Rhinolophus ferrumequinum: one gene and its partner. The protein of the gene in region 1 purifies or fractionates together with the protein of each later gene. This does not show direct contact. Links are inferred from orthologs where the notes say so. Each region holds a gene or a part of one and is shown in the gene's direction. Other genes may lie near its edges. The genes, in order: ANKRD28 and PPP6R2.

Region 1 (8,825 bases):
CTTTCCCTCCAATTTTATTTTCCTTCTACAGTTTATCAGAGTTTGCAGTTATATATTTATTTGTGTGTAAGCTCCATTAGAGTGAGGATTGACTGTTCATAATTTTTGTTTCCTCTGCCTAGCAGAAAGCCTAGCACAATAGTAGATGATGGATAAATACAGATAAATGGATGAGTCATTGACTGATTAGATGTTACTGAGCTTCCACTTCCCAGATATAAATTGGATAACAGTAACCACCAATGGTAATTGAGAATTTAGTGAGAGTATTTGTGATGTTTGTTTACTTTTCCTCTGCTGATTTTCCTTTGCTTACCCAGGATGATAGAGTGGATTGTTCTTCAAGCTGTTTTCTGATCAGCTACTGTTTCTGTTACAATTTGTTGCAGCTAGTGTGTTAATTGATTTTATTTATTGAAAACTTCAGTAGCTATACTGTGCTAGATAGAATATGGATGGTGGAAAAACAGGGCTGGAAGGATACATGCCCATTGATGATTAAAGAAGAATAAGATTATCATTTAAGAGTTAAGTTCAGCTCCAAGTAAAAGAGACTTAAAATCCCATTGATTAAACAAGGCAGAACTATTTCTCTCTGCCATAAAAGTCAGGACGTAGGCAGTCCAGGGCTTTTATGGCTGTTCTGTCCCACAAAGTCTTCAGGGACTTAGATCCTCTCTAGCCTACTGTTCCAGGAAACAGGGTGGATATGCCATTTGTCCTTTTAAGACGTTTTCTGGAAGCCACACAACACCTCTACTTAAAATGCTGGTGAGAACTTTGTCATGTGACTCCTAGCTACAAGGGAGGCTGAGAAGTGTAGTCTTTGTTCCGTGAGGCTCTGTACTTACTAAAAACTGAAGTTCTAGTTGAGTGGAAGATGGGAAGAATGGATACCGAATATAGGTCTTTGCAAAGAACACATCAGATTAATAATATGTAATACTAATATGTGTTAACTTTGTGCATTACACAATCATAATGGAAGGGTTAACAATTTATTATTACCATTGCAGCGTACTAGTTAGTATGTTAAACCACTTAAGATCTTCAGATAATATTTGTCAGCCATTTTGGAAATATGATTTAGTATATTTAAATGGCCTAGTTTATAAATATATTACATGCAGAGAATTAAATCTGATCTGTTAAAGAATTTGAATTCATCATTTTTTAAATATACAGTTAACCCTTGAGCAACAGGGGGGTGGGGCACCAACCTTCTCTCTCCCCTGTACAGTTGAAAATCTGCGTATAACTTTTGACTCCCCCAAAACTAATAGCCTGTTGACTGGAAGCCTTACTGATAACATAAACAGTCAACACATGTTTTGTGTGTTATATGTATTATATACTGTATTGTTACAATAAAGTAAGCTAGAGAAAGAAAAGATTATTATGAAAATCATAAGGAAGAGAATATACAGTATTTATTGAAAAAAGCCCACGTATAAGTGGGCCTACGCAGTTGAAACCTGTGTTGTTCAAGAGTCACCTGTGTTAAGTGATGTTTTTACAGTGGCCATGTGTTCACAAGGAAGTGGGACCGGTATCATAGAAAGCAGCTATTTCTTAATCCCACCCCATTTTCTTTTAAATTTGTTCATAAGACTTGAGAAACAGTCTCATGGACAGATGAGGTATAGCTCAAGAAGATTGTTTAGGATTCTTGAACTATGAGAAATTATTCTGAAACATGGTTTGAACGCGCTCTTTACCATCTTCCACCACAAGTTTTTTGTCTTTTAATACTCAGAGACTAGCTTAGCACAGAATAGTCACTTAATATATCCTGAGTAAAATGTATTATTCTATGGTAATCAATATGGATTCACAGATTTGTAAGAAATAAGTTGAGCTTTGGGTTGAATCTATGCAGAAAGGAAAAATCATTTGTGTCAAAAAAAAAGAAATTCTGGTGTAACAAAATTAGGAACCTAAAAATAATCTTTCAGCATGTTAAATTTTTATCAATAAAATGAAGGTTTAAATGAGCTTTACCATTACGTGGTTCTGTGAAGAGTAGGAGTAAGCTTTTCATAGGATACATTTTAGCATAAAGGATAGAAGGATTATGAAATTGCCAGGATTGAAATTGTTGGCTTACCAAAACACTTACTCTAATTTGGCCTAAAAAGTAAGTGCCTCAAGAAAACACTACATTCCCTTGCCGTTGTTCAACTGAAAAAAGAAAAAAGAAAAAAACGAATGTTGAACTTGTTTTCGCAATCTATCAATAATTTTTTATCGTAAGTAGTTTCTCCTTCTTAAATACTTATTTACCTGTCTCCTTTTCCTTTAAGATGTGAGTTCCTTGACGTTAGGGGCCTATCTTATTTAGTAGAAGATATAAAATAGTGTTGTATGGTGTTAAATAATAAAAAAATATGGAAATATTTATCGGTATTTTTCATCTACCTTTGGTTATATAGTGTACCATGGGCCAGTACATTCTACTCTTAGACTATGAAGTACAGTGAATCTAGAAAAATGGAAAAAACCTGTACTCCTACTTCTTGCCTAAGTTTCCTGCTCCTCCTGCCCAATAATAGGTAGTAAATTCATGTCTGGTTACTGGAGTGTTAGCTTCTAACAGTCTCTCCAGAAGCCTGAAAAGGGTGGGGAGTTAGCAACTGAATGGGGTCTCCACCCCCCAGTTTGAATCACCTCACCAGCAGGAGCTCTGTACATGGCCCTTTATTTACTCACTGGTTTCACTAAGGGTATCATTCAACTACCCTAAATATCCACAGTAATACTGCTATACACATTTTATTTAAACTTCACTGTGAATATAGCACTATAGATTCTGTTCAAGTCCTTTAATAATGTTGAAATGATTCCCAGAGAGATTAAGTAACCTGTGGGAACCTGGATTACAATACATACAGTTTAGCTACAAAGCTTACATTCCCAATCACTGTGCTATTACAGTATTTCTTGTAGATAAAAATCTCAGGAGATTATTATTTTATAAGTATGGAGAAATTTAGGCTCAGGGAATTTAAGTAGCTTACCCAAGGACACATCTAATGTATAATGGAATCAGAATTTGATCTCCACGTACCTAGGCTAACTCCTGAGCTCTTAATTTTAGCTGTCATCCTATATCACTGTTTTATATCCTGTCAACTGCTACATTTAAGTTGCTCACCTGCTGGAGGTACAAAATTCATTTGCTTGCACCTTAATGCCTCCCGTGTTTTCTAATTAAAGTGTTTGTGTTACATATATGTATGAATCCTCCATTGTGTTTTATAATTTTACCACTTTATTCCAGAGTCTTATGACATAATAGAATTCATCTATTGAAATTATTTACAGATGGAAGAACGTGGAAGGAAACAATATGTATATAACAGTCCCTGCCTTCAAAGAGCTTTTTTCTGGTTGGGAAAGACCTAAGTATGGAATTTGACCTAGAACAAGAAACAGGATGTACCTGAGTGAAGTCTAAGTATACACTGGATACTTTGGAACAAGTTAAAATTGTCCATATAAAGAGAGATTTCGGGGTTTTTTTGGCGGGGGAGATAGAATATAGGATATTGTTACTATAGTGGTTTCATTTTCAGGTATTTCAAATATTAAGGTGATATTTTTGATTTAGCCATGTGGAGATAGTTAACATTTTTTATATGTCAGAATACTTCTATGTCTTTAATTCAGCCTTAAATTATTTTTTATATTTTAAAATACAACTATGTAAATTGTTAGCATAGTTTATTATCTTGATACAATTATATTAGGGTCACAAGTTTTTTTTATAGATTTCATATTTAATGGTTTTTGATTCTTAAATTCTGGCATTCTTATCCGTATCATTCTAGGAGTTTTTTCTCTTTATGTTTTGATAAGTAAAGTGGCTTTAATGCGAGAGTTAACACCAGCCCTGAAATACTCCTTTAAAAATAGCTTATTTGGGAATATTATTGCAATAAATAGTATATTTCTTTGTTACTCAAACTTTTCACAATCATTATAGGTTACCTGTTTTTTAAGATCACTTTTAGTCCGGAATTACAGGTTGCAGAGATCTTGAGTGTGTGTATTTGCATGCTCTACTCAGGAGAGGCAGAATGGATTAGAAAGAGCATGTGTTTGAAATTAGGCACTTTACTAATTTGCATGACTTCGGGTAAAATACTTAATTCTGAGTGTGTTTTCCTCTATAATATGGGAATGTAGTAAGGTTATTGTGAGTGTTAAATGAGAAAGTACACGACCTAACACATCATAAATGTTCAAAATAACTTGTTTATTAATAAAAATTCTAGTTGATAAAAGAAAGAACAGAGATCGAAGGGGAACCATGGTATTTTCTTTGTAATTTTTCTTTTGGGAAATGTCCCCATCGTTGAGTAAACAGAGAAAGCGGGGGAAGCCAACTATAAAGTGGTAGTTTTTGACACTGATTTGTAACTTTGGGAATATTAATTTTATAGGGGAGGGAGATTCTTTGCTGTCTTTGTGTTACCCTGTGCCTTTTTGATATATAGATAATTCAGTACCAGGAACTTTACACAATAGTTTTATGTAGTTATTTAATAGATTTTTAAGGCTGTATTCCATTTCCAGATGAGAAGGTAGAATTATTTAATCAGTGAAAATTCAGATAATCCATAGAATAAATTTTAGAGTTAAGGTATCTACATTATAAAATTTTTATTTTTTCCTTTAAAAAATATGACTTGATTGATTACATTCAACTTAGAAATTGTTAGTAAATCTTAAATTTCTTTTGTTTAAACTTCTTTGCATCTTTGAAAATAACATACATCTGGTAGATTTTAAATGGTGTTGGTAAATAAGACTAAAACCTTAGGTTCATGGTTCTTATATTATCATAAAATATTTCTCCTTTTTCTCTAATTCTCTTATGTGAACTCACTGCAGACATTCTTAATGCAGCTATCATTATAGGGTTAAACATTTGCCATATCCTAACATACAAAAGCAGTTAAGTTGTTTGGAATTGTTTACTTGCTAAAACCAGTGTTAGTCAGCAGAGGCAGTACACCAGATTTCCTTGTGGCTTTTAGTGGAAAATGTTAAAAGCGCACTCATTTTTCAGTTACAGAATTTTTCAGTTTGTTCTGGCTTAGTCACAGAACTGGCATGAACCCTTCTAATTGTGAAGGCAGTCCAAATGTACTATTTTTTTCTCCTGCTAGAGGAAGTTCCATCCCCAGCAGTAGCTCAGATCTCTGGTAAGTGTAACATGTGAGCATTACTAGGCATTTCATCCTGCGGTTCTGCAGTCTTTGCTGTTCAGACTGCCCCTCAGTTGGAATGCTTCTGTGGGGCCGATCCTTAGGTTCTATAGATATTTTCTAAGGACCTACTCATTTGGAGGAGTCAGTGGCGTTTTGCAAGATCATCTGAGGAACAGGAAAACATCTGAAATCTACTGAAAAGGATAACTGTAGCGGTTTTCACAGTGGAAGGAAACTGTATTGGCACAGAAGCAGATGATTGAATAAAGTAGTTGGCTCAAAGAAGATGCACAGTCTGCTGTTTTTTTCTCTGAATGAAGACTATTTAATGGAAGCTGTATTCATGTGGAGATCAAAGGAAACACTGGAATGATAAACTACGGGGGGTTTTTTCTCTCTTTTTAAATGGAAAGCCTGAAGCAGTAATTCGAGCTCAAATGCCTTCTAATTCCTTCGCGGCCTGCCTGTTCTATTAGGATTCCCCGCTCACACCATTTCTGCCTGGTGCCTGTGCCCTTTTGCTGGAGCAGCCACAGACAACTGCCTGATGGAGAAAGAATGAATGTTCTGCCTTCTGCTATTGATAGGAATAAAGCTATCTGTGTTCCTTCTATTATGTGGGATACCTGGATTAATCAAGCTATATTCTAGTACCAAGAGTCCTATTGTCTCTCGGGGTCTGACTCATCGCATGTAAATGTACTGCAGCTTTGCTATTAATGCAGACTGTTGTTTTTTTTCTTTCCCAAACACAGAAAGAATTGTCAGCCTTTGAGCTGCATTTTAAGAATTTGTGCTGAGCTCTAGATATATTTTTTTTCTGCATTAAACTAGTGAAGCTGAAGAAATGAAGACAAATTAGAAGTGGAAACAGAATAGTGAGATTTTATTTTTTATTTACAATCATAAGCAAGCCAGCTACCGGTAACTATATGACCTTGCAGGCAAGAGTGGGGTATAGCTGTAATTATCTCTGTCACAGCAGTTGTTTCTCATTTCATTCTGCATTGTATGGTGTTGTCACCCAAAACAATGATCTTTTTATGCAATTTCTGTGAGACACAGAGCAATATTACTATTTTGGTAGGGGAAAAATATTTTTAAATGAGCTTGTACTGGACTCAGTTGTAGTTATTGACATGTTGATGTGAAATTTAAGTATTGCAATAACCCAACAGAAAATAACAGAATTTTGTTGTTTTTAGGAAGTTATAAGTTCTGTAGTCATAATTTTAAACTTCAGTTTTTCCGGTCATACTTACTAACTTTAAAAAACCAGCTGCGCTGTTCAGAGAATGATTCTAAGTGTTGTACAGAAGAGGAGGAAAAACTACTTGTGCTCTTGCAACTGTGACTTTTATCACAGAGCTTGGAATTTAGTATTTTAAAAGAGCGAATGAGTCGAGTGTGTATTGTTGTTTTGGAGGAGGTAGAAGATGAATCTCCTGAATTCATTTCTAAATTGCCACAGGAAAATAAATCCCTACATTCTCCATCTTCTGGAAGTGTATTGGTAAGATAAGAGAGTTTATATGTTTACTGTATTCTACTGAACTAGTAGGGCAAATTTTATTTTTTAAGAATAAATATAAGTTAATTTCTACTAGTTTCATTAAAAACCCAAATTAAAGCAATATAGATGTATAAATATGCAATATTACTTGTGTGTAAAATTCACATCTCTGATTTTTACTTTTTCAGATATTTAGACAACTTTTCAGACTTTACTTGCTATCTCTTAAGACTTAAAAAAATAATCTGAGATCAGTAGTTACGGCAACCACGTTTCTGTTTTCATTTTATGGTTTTAAAAACTGAGGTAATAATGAGAATGAGGAACTCCGTTTTAGGAACCGTTGACTACTGCCAAGGCACAGCCTTTTCTGTAATGAATTTTATGTGTTTACGTGCAAGACTTTCCGAGGAAAAAGTATCAGACTTTATTCTTAATCTTATTTTTAGTGCTGTTGTCAATTGGCTTCTTGTTTGACTAGTATAATATGATACCTTATCAGAGAGGCTGTGTCGTTAATTAAGAAGTTGCTATATTTAGCCATGCACGTGTTTGCCTCTTCATGTTATTCAGGTATGCAGTATTTCTTGGTCTTTGAATAGTGGTGATTTTCATCAATTGCCAGCTTTTCTTTCTTTGGATTTAGATCTTTATACATGTAATGTTAACCTTTGCAAGTTATTTTGATGCCCCAAACAGAAATTCTCAAAGAAGCCTTAGCCTTCTCTCTTGGACCTCAGCATTGACTGGGAACTGCTTATTTGACACGTTGCTTCCCACAAGTAGATGTTGAGATGTCACACTTGTATTCGGCAGAAACTTTCTTTTTACCATATAGATAAACAAAAGGCTTGCACTCATTAAAAAAATAGTAAAAATCTGTGTTTATTATACCGCCTAATTTTTGTCATACTGAGCTGACTTTTTTTAATTAGGCCTCCTCCTTTCCAAGGAGGAATCCTGTATTTTCATCTGATTTGACTTCGTGAAACTTTTGATCAGTATCAAAAAAACACAAATATTTGTTGCTATAGGGAAGGAAAATTTTAGATTTAGAAGTTGTGTGGAAATATCTTTAGAATCATCCATGTGCTGTGATTAATGTTTTTATTACTCTCTTATATTTTAGCCATCACTGGTGCAAGCTATATTTAATGGAGATCCTGATGAAGTTCGAGCACTAATATTTAAGAAAGAAGATGTTAACTTTCAGGTAACACAATTAATTCACTGATACCAGCCTTTAAGCCTACTTTTAAAAACTCTTTCCTAGAGTTATGAGTTTTGTTTAAAAGACATAACAATTCTGTAACAGTTTTTTTTTTTAAGTGAGATTAGAAGGGTCTTGAGGCAAAAAAGGAAGGGACTGGATATATATTCAAGAGAACAAGGAGCCAGTGAGGGTCCTTTTTTCCCCCGGCTTTTTACTTTGAAAAAATTCACAGAAAAGTTGAAAAAAATACTTTGAATACCCATATACTCTCCACTTAGATATAGCATTGATGACATTTTGCCACATTTACTTTCTCATATTTACACATATTTTATACATTTTTTCTTTTTCTTCTGCTGAATCCCATTTGAAAGTAAGTTGCAGATAACTAACTCACTGATAGTTACTTGTGCGCATTTCAGATGAGGGTTCTTTTTTGTGAATTCAAAATAAAAGACATTTCTATTAAGTTTATAACATATCTAAACTTGATTATGAGATCAGATTTGCCTACTGCAGATAATCCTGGTGAGCATTATACAGAATGAGTCAATCTGTTTCAATCTCTAGGCAGAGAAAGACACATTGTTTGAAAAGTCTCTAAATTTAAGGGTATAGTGGATTTAACATTCAGGACTAACATGAGGGACAATTTTAGAAAGAGTGGATATGTGGATAATTTACTCTCTCTTTTTGTATTTTCCAGTGGCCAAAAGTTTATTTAATTTACTAAATTGAGACTGAAAATATGTAATTTGCTATAATTTCAAATTCATTAATGTATATATTTTAGAAACAAATGTTTTAGTACATTTTTCATAATTTAGTCCTCTGAATTGTGGAGGTTGGAGGAGGCCATGATTCATAAAGTCACTATAGCAAC
Region 2 (7,795 bases), on another chromosome or scaffold:
GTATCCTGTGACCTTGTTAAACTAGCTTACTATTTCTAGTAGATTTTTTTGGTGGATTCCTTAGGATTTTCTAAATGTATAATCATATCATCTGTGAATAAAGACAATTCTAATCTGTGCGGCTTTAATTTTTTTTCTTGACTATTGCATGGGCTAGATAGAACCTTTAGTACAATGTAGAATCATTTCAAATATTTCTTCTCTTCCTTTCTTCTCCTCCTGGTGTTCCCATGACGTGTATGTCACACTTTTTGCAGTTCTCCCCCAGTCTTTGGATATTCTCTCTGTTTTTTGCAATATTTGTTCGCTTTGCTTTTCAGTTTTCAAGGAGTCTATTGATATACCCCCAGCTCAGAGATTCTTTCCTCAGCCATGTCCAGTCCATGAGCCCATCAGAAATGTTCTCCATTTCCATTTCAGAGTGTTTGATCCCTCACTTCTCTTTTGGTTCTTTCTTAGAATTTCCGTCCCTCTGATGACGTTGCTCATGTGTCCTAGTGTGCCACCTGCTTCGTCCATTAGAGCCCTAGCACAAGAGTCACAGTTGCTTTAAATTATTATGGGATACTTCCAGTACCCCTGCCGTGTCTGGTTCTGATGCTGCTCTGTCTCCACCAACGGCGTTTTTGCCTTGAGTGTGCCTTGTCATTTACTATTGAAAGGCGGACATGTCCTTGGTAACAGGGAGTCCAGTAAACGGGCCTTCGTGACGTGGTGTCAGGTGTGGGGGGCAGTTTTCTGTGGTCTCACGATTCGGGTCAGTCTGTAGTGAGCCTGCGCCCTGCACTGTGCTCCCCGTGTGTGTCTCTGTTTTCTCCTCCGCCCTTAGCTGGACCAATGGATGGAGGGGCTGCAGTTGGGTATTTCCCTTCTGCAGTCAGTGGGCTCTGATGATCCCCAGCTGGCCGGGCCCCGGTTAGTTTCTCCCCAGGGCAGGCCTTGAGAACAGGATGCCTGGTGTGTTTAAAATGGTTGCTTTCCTCCCTCGCTGGAAGCATGAGGGGACCTTTCTCTGATACTGGGAACCTGGTCGAGCTCCTGGAGGTGAATCTCATGATACCGTGAGGCCCCCTTATGACTGGGTCCCTGGAGTTTCTCACTCTGACGTGTTCACTCTGAGCCTCCAGAAATGCATCACTTACAGTTCAGGGGACCCCCGTACAGATTCCCCGGTGGTTTCTGCCCGTGAATCTCTGCTCTGGGAAGCCGTGATGACCTGTGTTCACCTGTTTCTCCAGTTTTGGGAGCAGTGGTTTGCCCTGTGTCCTCCCTTCTCTTACAGATCCAAGACGGGTTGTTGCTTTTTCAGTTTCTTCTGCTTGTCACTTGTTAGGATTGAGGGATGACTTCCAAACTCCTTACATGAGGAACCCTACATTGTAGAACTGAAGTGGTGAAAGCAGACATTCTTGCCTCAGTTCTAATGTTAGAGGAAAAGCCTTTAATCTTTCACCATTAGATTTGTTTTTAGTCGTAGATTTTTCCTAGATACCTTTTATGAAGTTAGGGAACTTCCCATCTATTTCTAGTTTGTTGAGAGTGTTTATGATGCAGAGGGATTGTTGACTTTGGTTCTTCATTAATTCCTGTTGACTTTAGTCAACATCTGAGTCATTTCCTTTCAACTTGAAGTGCTTCCTTTCATATTTCTGGTAAGGCAGATCTGCTAGCAATGGCTTTTCTGTTTTGTTTATCTGGGAATGTCTTTATCTCACCTTCATTTGTTTCACCTTCATTTTTGAAGGATAATATTGCTGGGTATAGTTTTTTTCAATGACAGATTTTATTTTTTTCTTCAGCACTTTATGCCATTTTATTGTCTTATGGCTTCTATTACCCATGACAAGAATTAATTGTATCATTTTTCCCCTTTATGTGATGGGTCATTTTTTCTGTTGCTGCTTTCAGGGTTTTCTTTCTGCCTCTGACACACAGGAATTTGGTTATGGTGTACATAGTATAGGTATGGCTCTCCGTGTGTATGTCCTACTTGGGTTTACAGAGCAGTGGTCTTCTGATGCCCTGGTGTGTGTGTGTCCTTGGCACTGTGGGGGCTTTTTTTTTAATATTTAAAAATATTTTTTATTGGGGAACAGTGTATTTTTCCAGGGCCCATTAGCTCCAAGTCGTTGTTCTTTCAACCTACGTTGTTGTGGAGGGAATAGCTCAGCTCAAAGTCCAGTTGCCGTTTTCAATCTTAGTTGCAGGGGGTGCAGCTCACCATCCCATTCGGCAATTGAACCGGCAACCTTGTTGTTGAGAGCTCACGCTCTAACCAACTGAGCTATCCGGCCGCCCCTGTGGGGGCTTTTGAAGGGAAGAACAGGACAGTTCCTTCTGCTCTGATGGAACTCCAGAGGCAGCACATGTCTTACAGTTATTGATGAATAAATTTGCACTTGATGTTCCTAGTAATAGAATTAATTTTATTTGGTCCTTCTGTGTCAGCTTGGCTTGATTTTAGCTGTTTTATGTCCACTACAAGTCACTTTAGAAAGGAAATCTGTTAAAGAGCCCACATCTTATGACCAGCTACAGGAACAAGGGTTGTAGTAGCGTTGCATGTTACAATGTGTTTATTTGTGTATACATATATATACACATATATATGTACATATATATATATATACACACACATATATATACACCATTTTCTTCTCTCTCCTTTCCATTTTTTTAAATATGTAAGCTGTCACAGGTTAACTTTACTAGTTAGTTTAAAGAGAAGAACATAAGAGACTATTCAGTGGGACAGTGACAGAATTTGAGGAGTAAGTAATGTAGCCAATGAAAGATACAATGGCTGTTGGGAGTGCATATGCTCATTTTGAAACAGTGAGAATTTTTTCACTTGCAGTAAGGATGGACAGACATATCTTGTGTTAGGTGAAAATATGAGTTGTTTTGTTGTTGTATGGAAGTTCAAATATGTTTGAAAGGATGCATACAGATGCTGACTATCCAGAGGGTTGGACTCTGACCATTTTCCACTTACTGACTCCTCTCTGAATCCACTTCTCATTGCCTGTTCGGTGATCATGGAAACCCCCAAGCGTTTCTTTTGCAGTTGGCACGATGTTTAGCTTTGTCAGTAGAGTGCTGGAGGGTCACTGCCAGAGGAAGAGACCTCCTGGTCTGAGGCCCCATTTTGCAGCTCAGCCCACAGCGCCCCTGTCTCTGCAGGGAGGGACCTCTGCTAGCGTTTCTCCTCTCGGTTGCAAATCTGATGCTTTTTTACTCCCGATTCCTTACAGAACCTGCCAGAGATCTGCCGTGCAGGATGCTGGGGAAAGGTGTTCAGGGGAAGACATTCTGCTATCAAGCCGCCGGAGGGGATGCTGGGGAAGCTGCAGGCCACAGGAGCTGGACGCAGGGAAATCAGGTAACTGGAAGGCGGTAGCTCCAGCCGGCAGAGCGAGCCCCAGAACAAACCCTCGCGCGCCCTCTCGTGTCGGAGCTCAGCATCTGCAAGCCCAGGTACGCATTCGCAGAGAGGACGACCAGACGATGCTTTTGCAGCTGAAGAAGGAAGTTGGTAACTGGCGCAGGTTGTAGACATTCCTTAAGTGTCCAATTTCATTTTCCAACATTTTCCCACGTTTCACGCTGACACCTAAAATTATAACTCTTATTTTAGAGATTAGTTGGTTTAATTGAATTATACGATTTCAACAAATGTTAAACGGGTACATGTTTTAATGTGCAAAACACAGTACACCTGTGGGGCACCCTGAAAAAACACTACATGTGGTGGCTTCTGCTCAGGCGTTCCCAGTCCAGTTACTAGGAAACAAGTCCTAGAGGGAATCTCTGCATGACACATGGGGGGCTGACCACGGTTCACTCTTGCTCTGGCCGTGTCCACGCCACGTGCCCAAGGACACCCAGCTGCCCGAGAGGACACCCAGCTGCCCCAGTGGGAGAGGCCTAAAGCCTGGGCGGAAGACCCCCCAGAGAGCAGATGACCCCTGCCCCAGGTATGTGATCCTCCAATGCTTTCAGGCCTCTGGAGGGGTTGCTCTGTTGCTGACGTTGCATTGGAAAACTTATTACCGTAAATGCATTATCCCATAATAAGTTAATTATGCTTGTACAGAAATTTAGGAATACCTTAGAGGGAAAAGGAAAAGGAGAAACCGCCGCCCACCCACCCGGCTCTCAAGCAGCCTGCACCTTCGCATTGCAACCGATCGCGGCCCGGCATCCCAGCGCGTCCAGGTGACCATAAGAGCCCCGCCCCCACGCTCAGCTCCGCCCCCACGCGAGCTCGCGCTCAGCGCAAAGGCCCCGCCCCCAGCGTGCGCGCCCCGCCCCCCGCCGCAGCCGCCATTTTGGAGCGACCTGAGCGCCGCTAGCGCCCCGAGCCGGTTCCGAGCCGCCGGCGGGCCCGCGCCGTGTCGGTGGGCGCCGTGTCCGTAGGCGCCGCGCCTGGCCGGGCCCATGTGCGTGCGGTCCGCACCAGGCCGCTCGGGCTTTGCCTCCGCCAGCGCCGTGGCCTCCACCCAGGCCTCCGAGGAGCCGCCGCGACGCCCGGCCCGCCGGGCAGGTGAGTGCGGCCGCCCTCAGACTCCTCAGAGCCCGCTCCTTTCGGTGCCCCTCCTGTCGGTAGTGTCTACCCGTCAGTGGCCACCCTCGTCAGTGACCAGCCCCCGCCGGTGACCAGCCCGTAGTGTCCACCCGTCAGTGACCACCTCTTGACAGTGACCACCCAGTTACTGACCACCTCCGGTCAGTGACCTCCCGTCAGTGACCTCTCCAGTCACTGACTACCTCCGGTCAGTGACCTCCCGTCAGTGGACCCCCCACCCCCACCCCCGACAGTGACCACCCGTTAGTGACCGCCCCAGTCAGTGACCCCCCCACCTCCCCCACCCCAACCTTCGTCAGTGACCACCTGTCAGTGACTACCCATTAGTGACCTCCTGTCAGTGACCATCTGTTAGTGACCTCCCGTCAGTGACCACCTCCCGTCAGTGACCACCTCCCGTCAGTGACCTCCCGTCAGTGACCACCCCAGTCAGTGATCTCTCCAGTCACTGACCACCTTCGGTCAGTGACCTCCCGTCAGTGACCCCCCACCCCCACCCCCGTCAGTGACCACCCCAGTCAGTGACCCCCCCCACGGCCCCCCAACCCCCATCAGTGACCCCCTCCACCACCCCCACCCCAACCGCCATCAGTGACCACCTGTCAGTGACCTCCCGTCAGTATCCGCCCTCATCAGTGACTACCCATTAGTGACCTCCTGTCAGTGACTGCCTGTTAGTGACCACCCGTCAGTGACCACCTCCCGTCAGTGACCACCTCCCGTCAGTGACCACCCCAGTCAGTGACCACCCGTCAGTGACCTCCCGTCAGTGACCACCCCAGTCAGTGACCACCCCAGTCAGTGACCACCCCAGTCAGTGACCACCCCAGTCAGTGACCTCCCGTCAGTGACCACTCGTCAGTGACCACCCCAGTCAGTGACCACTCGTCAGTGACCACCCCAGTCAGTGACCTCTCGTCAGTGACCTCCCGTCAGTGACCACCTCCCGTCAGTGACCACCCCAGTCAGTGACCACCCCAGTCAGTGACCTCCCGTCAGTGACCACTCGTCAGTGACCACCCCAGTCAGTGACCACTCGTCAGTGACCACCCCAGTCAGTGACCTCTCGTCAGTGACCTCCCGTCAGTGACCACCTCCCGTCAGTGACCACCCCAGTCAGTGACCACCCCAGTCAGTGACCTCCCGTCAGTGACCACTCGTCAGTGACCACCCCAGTCAGTGACCACCCGTCAGTGACCACTCGTCAGTGACCACCCCAGTCAGTGACCATCCCAGTCAGTGACCACCCCAGTCAGTGACCACCCCAGTCAGTGACCACCCCAGTCAGTGACCACCCCAGTCAGTGACCACCCCAGTCAGTGACCACCCCAGTCAGTGACTTCCCGTCAGTGACCACTCGTCAGTGACCACCCCAGTCAGTGACCACCCGTCAGTGACCACTCATCAGTGACCACCCCAGTCAGTGACCACCCCAGTCAGTGACCACCCCAGTCAGTGACCATCCCAGTCAGTGACCACCCCAGTCAGTGACCTCCCTTCAGTGACCACCCCAGTCAGTGACCACCCCAGTCAGTGACCTCCCTTCAGTGACCACCCCAGTCAGTGACCACTCGTCAGTGACCACTCGTCAGTGACCACCCCAGTCAGTGACCACCCCAGTCAGTGACCACCCCAGTCAGTGACCACTCGTCAGTGACCACCCCAGTCAGTGACCACTCGTCAGTGACCACTCGTCAGTGACCACCCCAGTCAGTGACCACCCCAGTCAGTGACCTCCCCAGTCAGTGACCACCCTTCAGTGACCACCCCAGTCAGTGACCACCCCAGTCAGTGACCACCTCCCGTCAGTGACCACCCCAGTCAGTGACCACCCCAGTCAGTGACCTCCCTTCAGTGACCACCCCAGTCAGTGACCACTCGTCAGTGACCACCCCAGTCAGTGACCACTCGTCAGTGACCACCCCAGTCAGTGACCACCCCAGTCAGTGACCACCCGTCAGTGACCTCCCGTCAGTGACCACCCCAGTCAGTGACTACCCGTCAGTGACCACCCCAGTCAGTGACCACCCCTCAGTGACCACCCCAGTCAGTGACCACCCGTCAGTGACCACCCCAGTCAGTGACCACCCCTCAGTGACCACCTCCTCTGTCAGTGACCGTCTGTCAGTGATATCCCATGTGTTCACCCCATTATGTCCACCTTGTCAGTGTCCACTGCATAGTATCCACTCTCATCAGTGTCTGCCCCACTCTCTCTCTGTCCCCCCTCAGTTTCTCCCAAGGCAGTGTCTACCCTCCCCTTGGTGCCCTCCCAGTCAGTGTCCCCCATGTTACCAGCCCTCCAAGTGCCCTCCTAGCCGCTCAGTGTCACGTGTCAGTGCCCCAGCTCCCTCAGTGCCCTTATGGTTATGTTGCCCCTCCCGCATGCTGCCAGTGTGCCCATGTCTGTGCCCCTCAAGGCAGTGTCCACATGTCAGTGTCCCCCGGTCAGGACTCCCCTTACCATCAAGTGCCCCTGTCCGTCCTCCTCAGCCTGTCGCTGTTCACATCCTTGTTCTCACTGCTCCCCCCACCCTCTTCTTAGGGACCCTTCTTATCAGTGCCCTGACCCACTCGTCAGTGCCCCCACTGCCCATCTCCTGCCTGTCTGTGTAGGACACTCCCCTCCCCAGTGCCCACTGCCATCACTCACCGTACCCACTCAGTGACCCCTCTTTCCATCACCATTACGGCTCCAAGTGTCTCACCTCCCCCCATCCTGTCACTTTCCGACCCCTTTACCCCTCCCTGCCCCATTTCTTCTTCCATCCTCATCATCTCATCCTTCACATCTGTCGCCTTCACTCATGCACCTTACTGGCCCCCTTGAATGTCCTCCCCACCTATCAGTGTACCGTTTTCCACACACCCCACCTGCCACTTTGTGTCCTAGAGCCTAACTACCTGCATTGTTCACCCACTTGTTTCTGACCACTCCCAGTTTTCTCCTCAGCCTCTGCCCTGTCACTGCCAGCTCACCCAGCTTGTCACTGTCTGCCTGTCACTGTACCCACCTGTCTTGTCCCTATGGCCTTCTCCAGCCTGTTACTCTTTCACCCCTCCTATCACCTTCCTCCATGGCCTTTTGCTGCTGTGCCCTTTGGCCTCAGTTCCTGGGCCTTCGCTGTTAGCTGTTCACCTCTTCTCCATGTCCCTTCCTTTTTGGTTTCTCTTCCCTTTTGGCATCTCTTAACTCTCATACCAGCT

Evidence for each region.
Region 2: the proteins of ANKRD28 (region 1) and PPP6R2 purify together in Homo sapiens (co-immunoprecipitation; 4 studies listed by BioGRID and IntAct, counting the BioPlex papers as one, with this or other methods). This does not show direct contact. The link is inferred for Rhinolophus ferrumequinum from reciprocal best matches to the Homo sapiens genes ANKRD28 and PPP6R2.

What each region holds. Positions count from the first base shown.
Region 1 is NC_046300.1:30,957,971-30,966,795, forward strand, and holds the start of ANKRD28 (serine/threonine-protein phosphatase 6 regulatory ankyrin repeat subunit A), read left to right. Parts: upstream 1-5,201; 5' UTR 5,202-6,612; coding exon 6,613-6,729; intron 6,730-7,858; coding exon 7,859-7,942; intron 7,943-8,825. UniProt on the Homo sapiens protein: Regulatory subunit of protein phosphatase 6 (PP6) that may be involved in the recognition of phosphoprotein substrates. Involved in the PP6-mediated dephosphorylation of NFKBIE opposing its degradation in response to TNF-alpha.
Region 2 is NC_046293.1:376,538-384,332, reverse strand, and holds the start of PPP6R2 (serine/threonine-protein phosphatase 6 regulatory subunit 2), read left to right. Parts: upstream 1-4,327; 5' UTR 4,328-4,546; intron 4,547-7,795. UniProt on the Homo sapiens protein: Regulatory subunit of protein phosphatase 6 (PP6). May function as a scaffolding PP6 subunit. Involved in the PP6-mediated dephosphorylation of NFKBIE opposing its degradation in response to TNF-alpha.